Linked DNA regions of Daphnia pulex. The protein of the gene in region 1 interacts with the protein of each later gene in a biochemical or structural test. Links are inferred from orthologs where the notes say so. Each region holds a gene or a part of one and is shown in the gene's direction. Other genes may lie near its edges.

What was found.
Region 2: the proteins of homeobox protein extradenticle-like (region 1) and homeotic protein ultrabithorax-like are reported together in a solved structure, tested with the Drosophila melanogaster proteins (2 studies listed by BioGRID). The link is inferred for Daphnia pulex from reciprocal best matches to the Drosophila melanogaster genes exd and Ubx.

The regions. Positions count from the first base shown.
Region 1 is NC_060023.1:11,356,117-11,359,874, forward strand, and holds the start of homeobox protein extradenticle-like, read left to right. Parts: upstream 1-1,309; 5' UTR 1,310-1,396; exon of another isoform or gene 1,397-1,486; intron 1,487-1,743; 5' UTR 1,744-1,819; coding exon 1,820-1,990; intron 1,991-2,052; coding exon 2,053-2,194; intron 2,195-2,259; coding exon 2,260-2,510; intron 2,511-2,600; coding exon 2,601-2,791; intron 2,792-2,866; coding exon 2,867-3,002; intron 3,003-3,070; coding exon 3,071-3,170; intron 3,171-3,249; coding exon 3,250-3,401; intron 3,402-3,468; coding exon 3,469-3,528; 3' UTR 3,529-3,758. Other genes in the region: surfeit locus protein 1-like, read left to right, coding at 1-41, 103-192, 264-388, 451-636, 688-861, 918-1,131. UniProt on the Drosophila melanogaster protein: Transcription factor which acts with the selector homeodomain proteins altering the regulation of downstream target genes such as wingless (wg), teashirt (tsh) and decapentaplegic (dpp), thus affecting segmental identity.
Region 2 is NC_060024.1:12,346,323-12,349,980, forward strand, and holds part of homeotic protein ultrabithorax-like, read left to right. Parts: 5' UTR 1-962; coding exon 963-1,803; intron 1,804-3,658. UniProt on the Drosophila melanogaster protein: Sequence-specific transcription factor which is part of a developmental regulatory system that provides cells with specific positional identities on the anterior-posterior axis. Binds the consensus region 5'-TTAAT[GT][GA]-3'.

The DNA.
Region 1 (3,758 bases):
TGCTCAGTTTAAGGCATTTTCAGAAAATTAGAAGAATTAAGGTAATTTGGTTTATAGCTTCAAAACTGTGTTTTTCAACATTCATTTTCTGCTACTATTCAGACATGTACACAAAATTACGTAAGACGATCAGCCTCAAGCTATGGGCAAAGAAATGCTGTAGATATCGGAATTCACGGTTATTCGTTATTGGTAAGATAATCGATTTTAAAAATAAAACGTACATATAGTTCTTTAACAAAAAATTGATCCAATAAATGTAGGCTATTCCAGCCATCACTTTCGGCCTTGGGACCTGGCAGATTTTCAGACGTCAGTGGAAACTTGGTGTTATTGATCATCTTGCCAGCAGAACGTCTGCACCACCAATTCCATTTCAGTCTACAGAGTGAGACTGATACAATTCTTTAACTCTACCCTTTTATGCATATTTACACCAATGCTCTACAGTATTGAAGGGCTATCTGACATGGAATACCGGAAGTTTGAACTCCATGGAAAATTTGAACATGACAAAGAGATTTACATTGGGCCAAGATCACTGGTTGGAAATGAAAAAAATGAAGGTGGTGGGATGTTGTCTTCAGGGCAGAGTGGCTATTTAGTCATCACTCCATTTAAACTATCAGATTCCAAGTAAGACATTCAAACAGTTAATTTTCTCAATTTTCTACAAGTTACTTTTAGTCTCACAGTTCTTGTAAACCGCGGATGGATTCCTCGTAAAAAAATGAATCCATTCACCAGACTAAATGGACAAAGAGAAGGCGAAACAAAACTGATTGGAGTGTACCGCTCTAATGAAAATCGCCCCCAGTTTGTACCCCAAAATCAGCCCAAAGACCGCATGTTTCATTTCAGGTAAAGACAATTATATTTTTCGCAAAGTTAGATAACTTCATATATATTGCGTACAGAGATGTGGAGGGAATGGCTCGGCTTCTAGACACTGCGCCAATTTTCTTTGACGCGGACGCTGATAGCACAGTACCGGATGGACCTGTAGGTGGACAAACAGTTGTTACTGTTAGAAATGAACACGTTTCGTACATTTTAACGTGGTATTCATTATCAATTATCACAGCATTTTTGTGGCATCGACGATTTATCAAGAAAATGCCTCTTATGTAACTTAAATGTATTTATCTTCATAGAGGTTAAAGTCAAATTAATACATTTTAACATCAAACATCATTATATTTTTACTCTTGTTGCGTTTTCATTTGTAAAAATAAAATTTTAATTAATAAAATTCAAAATAAAAAATAAATACAGTATCGCGAGTTTCTAGTACATCGATTATTGGCTTACCCGATATAATTATCGATACTTACCTTTGTGATCGCGTTCTCGCGTCTTTTTTGCTTTGTCCCGTCGATAATCTCGGCGATCTCTGGTAATTATTTTATGAGCCTTTGAGAAATGTGATTCAGTCTGTTTGAATACTAAACAACTCGTGAATTCCCGGTTTCAAATTGTGTGTCAAGTCAGTAAAGAAAGTTTTTATTCTAATTGAAAGAAATACGCTACGCAAGCAAACTTCTCTTCCATGGCGGACGCTTGTCGCCTTGGGCATTTTATAAGACGTTGGCATTTTTATATTAACCGAAGCCAATTTTTGTTATTTACGATTGCTTTCTTGCAATACTAGTGCTTTGTTGTGTCTAGTACATTTCATTTTATGTTTACATTTCATGAAATCACATGTATGGATGTTAGTAAACGGAAAGTCATTGTTTACAGGGTCTTTATTGCCAGGTCCTGTAGCCTGAAGGCAATACGTTTTGTGCAGTGACATTGGAAGATTTCATTGCTTTTGATGGATGATCCAAATCGACTTATGCATCCTGTTCCAGGTGGCCAGGTTGGACTAATGCATCAGCCACCGTATGGGTTACCTCCTGTCAATGTCGGAGTCAATGTTGGGGTTAACATGGCTTCACTTGATGGAGGGAACCAAGACTCTGAAAATATGACTGGACGAAAGCAGGTGTGTACAATTCCATTTCCAAAATCTTTTTTTCCTTTTAAGTAAAACTTCTTTTTTTTTAGGATATTGGAGAAATTCTGCAACAGATCATGAACATCACAGACCAGAGTCTTGATGAAGCCCAAGCACGCAAGCATACCCTGAACTGTCATCGCATGAAACCTGCTTTGTTTTCTGTCTTGTGTGAAATCAAAGAGAAAACTGGTAACCCTATTTCAATATGAATCCAAGTGATTGAATGGTAACATTAAATTGTGCTCTCACTTTAGTTTTGTCGCTACGCAACACGCAAGAAGAGGAGCCTCCAGATCCGCAACTCATGCGGTTGGATAACATGTTGATTGCTGAAGGAGTAGCTGGTCCTGAAAAAGGAGGTGGGGCCGGTGCTGCTGCCAATGCATCAGCTGCAGCGTCTCAAAGCGGCTCAATGTCGGACTCGGCTATTGAACACTCTGATTATAGGGCTAAGTTGGCACAAATTCGTCAAATTTACCATCAAGAGCTTGAGAAATATGAGCAGGTACACATTTTTAGCAATGCTTATTTTTTTATTGGACCTCTATGACAAGAAAATGGAGAATAACCATTTCATTTTTACATCCGCTTTCAGGCTTGCAGTGAATTCACCACCCATGTTATGAATTTGCTCCGAGAACAATCCCGTACTCGTCCGATTACACCCAAGGAGATTGAGCGGATGGTTCAGATCATTCATCGCAAGTTTAGCTCCATCCAAATGCAGCTGAAGCAAAGCACTTGCGAGGCCGTTATGATTTTACGATCTCGTTTCCTCGACGCCAGGTAAATTTTGCTATTTTTTTAAGGTTTGACCACGCCCATTAAAGGTGTTGTTCTATCGATGTCTTCATCATGTAGGAGGAAGCGGCGTAACTTCAGCAAACAAGCTTCTGAGATCTTGAATGAGTACTTCTACTCGCACCTAAGCAACCCCTACCCAAGTGAAGAAGCCAAAGAAGAGCTCGCTCGTAAATGTGGGATCACCGTTTCACAGGTTAATTTCTTTTTAAATCCTTTTAAGAGGAATAAGCGCATTAATGTTTTGTTATTTTTACAAAAAAGGTTTCGAATTGGTTCGGTAACAAACGAATTCGTTACAAGAAAAACATTGGAAAAGCCCAAGAGGAGGCCAACCTGTATGCTGCTAAAAAGGCCGCGGGTAGTTGTTTCCACTCTGAGGATTTTCAAATCCTCGTATTACCGGAGCGATTCTAATTTTCGTACTTTTTCTTTCTCGTTAGGTTCCTCGCCATACAGTATGGCTGGAACTCCCGGACCGATGATGTCGCCTCAACCTGGTGGTCCTGAACTCAGGGGTCCACAAGATTCCTTAGGCCCGTACGGTGCTATGGGACTCAACGGTGGTGACTTTCCTTCCTCCATGGGCGGCCAAGTAAACTACTTTTAATGACTTAACTAGTGGTATCTCAGCATATTAATTAATGTAAACGTGTTTGTAGGGCTATGGCGATTCATCGATGGGTTATGATCCAAGTATGCATCAAGTGAATTCACCCTGAGGGGTGGACGAGTGCCCCTTCTCCTCCTCCACCCTATTTCTCGGCAAATCAACTCTTAATTTACTAACTTCATCAGATCTTGATCATACTGTGCGTTACAAGCTATCTTCAGCTGTTCGATTAACTCGTTCTAACCCATCTCGTACTCCTTCTTTTGTCCCTTCCTCTCAGTGCAGCTTTGTTGTTTCGTCTTGATAGAAAATGTTTCTGTGGATCACCTCGATCGGTGC
Region 2 (3,658 bases), on another chromosome or scaffold:
CTGGAGGAAGACGGAAGAAAAAAAGAAACTCTCGACGTGACCCGTCGTCCAAGTAAACGGGCCCGCTGTTTTCTACGCAACAAACATACACACATACACAATCAACGAAAAAGCTGTTACATCTTACTCGAAAGTATCCTGTTGTGTGTATTGTGTGTGTGCAGTCGTTACGCGGTAGCTGGAATCGTCGTAGAGTGGCGCTGGCGACTCTTCCATTTCCAACAAGGGGCGAAGTGGGCGTGTCCTTCCGTCGACAAACACCAAAAGAATCCAGGCAAAGCTCCTCCCCCCTCATCCCACCCCAATCGCCCCTCGTGCCCGTCATGATGGTTGTGGCCACCACAGAGCGCAGGCCCGACCCGCGGCCGCAGAGCCATTAAAAGCGGATGCGTGCAGCAACCCAAACGACGATCGCTCATTGGCTCTCGCAGCCAACCCCCCGCCAAGGCGAGAGAGTAGACCCCACCTCTTCGACTCCGGCTGCTGCTGCTGCCGCCACCGCCGCCGCTACTACTACAACAACTACTACTACTCATACCCCCATTATAGAGGCCTCCGTGTCTTTGCCCGGCACCCTTTTGAGAGTCCCGCGTACAGCAGACGGCTTTAGTTGATCGCTATCAGCAGACTCCGACGCAAGCGTGTGCCCAGTGTGTCCTCTCCTCTCTTCTCTCTTCCCTTTGAGCGCGCGGGACCGAGTCCCATCACGGCACACAGTTTGAATAGTACAGTCTGCCACTCTCTCACTCAGTGTATTCCCTTCTTCTCATCAGTGCAGTCGTCAACGATTCGTTCGTTGAGTCAAAATCGGACCTTGAGTGTTACAAATTATTTTTTTTTTTTTCGTTTTTTAATTTGTGAAATTGGATTTGGTGTGGCGAATTAAAGTGAACGAATTTTTTTCGGTGGTGGACAAGATAAGACGAAAGAAAAAATTGGTAAAGCGAAAAAGTTGATCGAAAATGATGAACTCGTACTTTGAACAGTCCGGCTTCTACGGTGGACATGGACAGACGGGGGCCGAGCAGGCGTACCGATTCCCGTTGGGTCTCGGAGTCAATCCTTACGGGCCGCCCTCAGGCGGCGTGACCCGCCAGCAAGTCGATTCCTACGACCAGTCGACAGCGGCGGCTGCGGCGGCGGCCGCAGCGGCCGCTTCCTGCAAACTCTACGAGCAACAGTACAAATTGGACTGCAGCAAAGCCGACCAGAACGGCTACAGTTCGGCGGGCATCAACGTCAAATCCGACAACAATTCGGCCATCAGTTCGTGGGCGCAGGCGGCGGCGGCTGCGGCGGCCGATGCGGCCAGAGCGGCCCAGCAAGGTGGAGTCAACGACCGGGGTGTCGGAGTGGGTTCCGTCGGTCACGGACACAACAACATCAACAACCGAGGCGTGGTGGGCGGCGGCGGTGGCGGAGTCGTCGGAGGCGGCGGCGGTTACCCGGGCGTCGTGTCCAACGTCTCTGGCGGCGTCGGAGTCGGGCCGGAAGCGGCCATCAGCGCCGTCACCCCTCGCCCGGCCAACTCGGTCGGTCCAAACAACAACCCGTGGAGCCCGTGCTCCCTCAACGCCACCACAGCCGTTCAGGCGCCGGTGCCGCAGCACGGAGGCGGCGGCGGCGTCGGCGTCGTGTCCCAGCACAACACGCAACACTCGCAACAACACCAACACAACTCGGTTCAACAGCACAGCAACCACAACACGAGCGGTCAGCACGCCAGCCACGCCATTAGCCAGCAGCAATCGCCACAGAGTCAATCGTCTGCCCATACATTCTACCCGTGGATGGCCATCGCCGGTAAGTCCGCGCCCTCCCGCTCATTTCATTTTTTCCTTTTTCTTTTTCAAACATCGTAAATTACCGGGCGCGTCTCTTTTTCCTCTTTTTTTGAAAAATAAAATAAAAGACGAACGCGTGGGACATAATTTACGATCCGTTTTCACGAGTGTCATGAGATCGACAGCAACAAAGTCGCAAAACTGTGTCGGATCACGATTTTGTGTGTTTTCGACGGCCCTGTTGAACGCTTCTGACCGCTCCTGTGATGATGATGATGATGTACTCTTACGTGATGGTGGTGCAGGGGGGGCTGCTGGAAGTAGGGGGCGGAGCGCGTCATAACTCTTTTTTCTTTTTCGGCCGGTACAACTAGCGGAAAGAGACGGGCACGGCACACACACACATACACACACACACGTCTAAGCTGCATGATCCGAACGACTCGTCCTCGGCCGTGTCGCTCAACAACACGCAGACCCCCTTTTTTTTTCTTTCTTTCACTTTTGATGACCTCCATAAAAATTCGAAACCGTCGGACCTTTGCAATGGGCTCGTAACTTTCCTTTGTTGCCCGTCCAGTGGCAGTTGCGCAGTCTGCAGCACCCAAATCACATAAAATGTCCTGTTTTTTTAACTAGTCTTCCTCGTTTATGTTTGTTTGGTTGGTGGGGGGGTCGCCACGCCAATCCAATCCAGAGAGGGAAAAAGGCGTCACAGCAAAACAAATAATAATACTAATAAAAAAAGAACCGATGAAGGGGGGATATTCAATTCTATCCAACAAGAGAATCATAAAATAAATAAAAATTATTCTCCCTAAACCCTCTGAAAAAAAAAAACTTGATTATAATTAAGCGAAACGAGATTGTGAATTCGTGTTATCATTGTCTGGGTAACGGACCGATGGCGATTTTTTTTTTGTCCACTCTGTTTCACGAGAAATTTGTAAAACACACATTTTGTCCGGCTGTAATCCAAGACGACTAAAGAAAAAGAGAGAAAGGGCCTTGTCTGCTTAGTATGCAAATAGCTCTTTCTTTCTCTCTCTCTCTCTCTCGTTCACTATCTATCGGCGTTCTCCCCTTTTTTTCCTTTTTATCTTCCCTCTCATTCTCTTTCGTCTTCAGGTTGCCAGCTAGATTGTATGTTACAGTCGATAAGGCCGCAGAGATTACCCAATATGCCTTTTTTTTCCTTCCTTTTATTCTTCTTCTCCTCGAGGAAATAAATTCATCCTGTTGCTGCTGCTGCTGCTGTTACCACTGGGTACAGCGATAAAAGCTGAAAAAGAGAAGGAAAGAGAGATGGCCATTTCGCTCGAGCGTCCAGGAGTCCCGAGGCGTTGCGTGCGCAACAGGTCTTGCGGGATTAACGAAACAAGCTAGTATACGATTTATCAATAGTTGAAGATGGGTGAAAGAAGAAAAAATTTGCCTCTAGATACCTATTTCGAAAGCAAACACAAATAGCGTTTTGCCGTTCATTTCCAGGTAGATCAATTAAAAATGTGTAAATTGTTGGAATTTCTAAATACCCCTAAGACTCCCCGGGGATCGACACGGGCCGTTAAATGGTTCAGGTCATCAGAGAATGACATCTTAAGTTAAAAGCACAAGGTGGAAGGCTATTATATGTAACATCGTGTATAACGGCAGCTACGAGATTTGTTGAAGGGCGACCCAAAAAACTAAAAATGTTTAAAATAGTAGGCGGGAACCCCAGAAAAAAAAAGAAAAAAATGAAAAAGGTCTTTTTTTTCCTCTTTTCCTCAGGTGAGACATGCGGGGGGTCGGGACTGTTGGTCAGGAATGGCGGACCCCGTGGGTATCTGGGACGAAAACACTGGGGTTTTCATGTAATAATTTATCGTGTC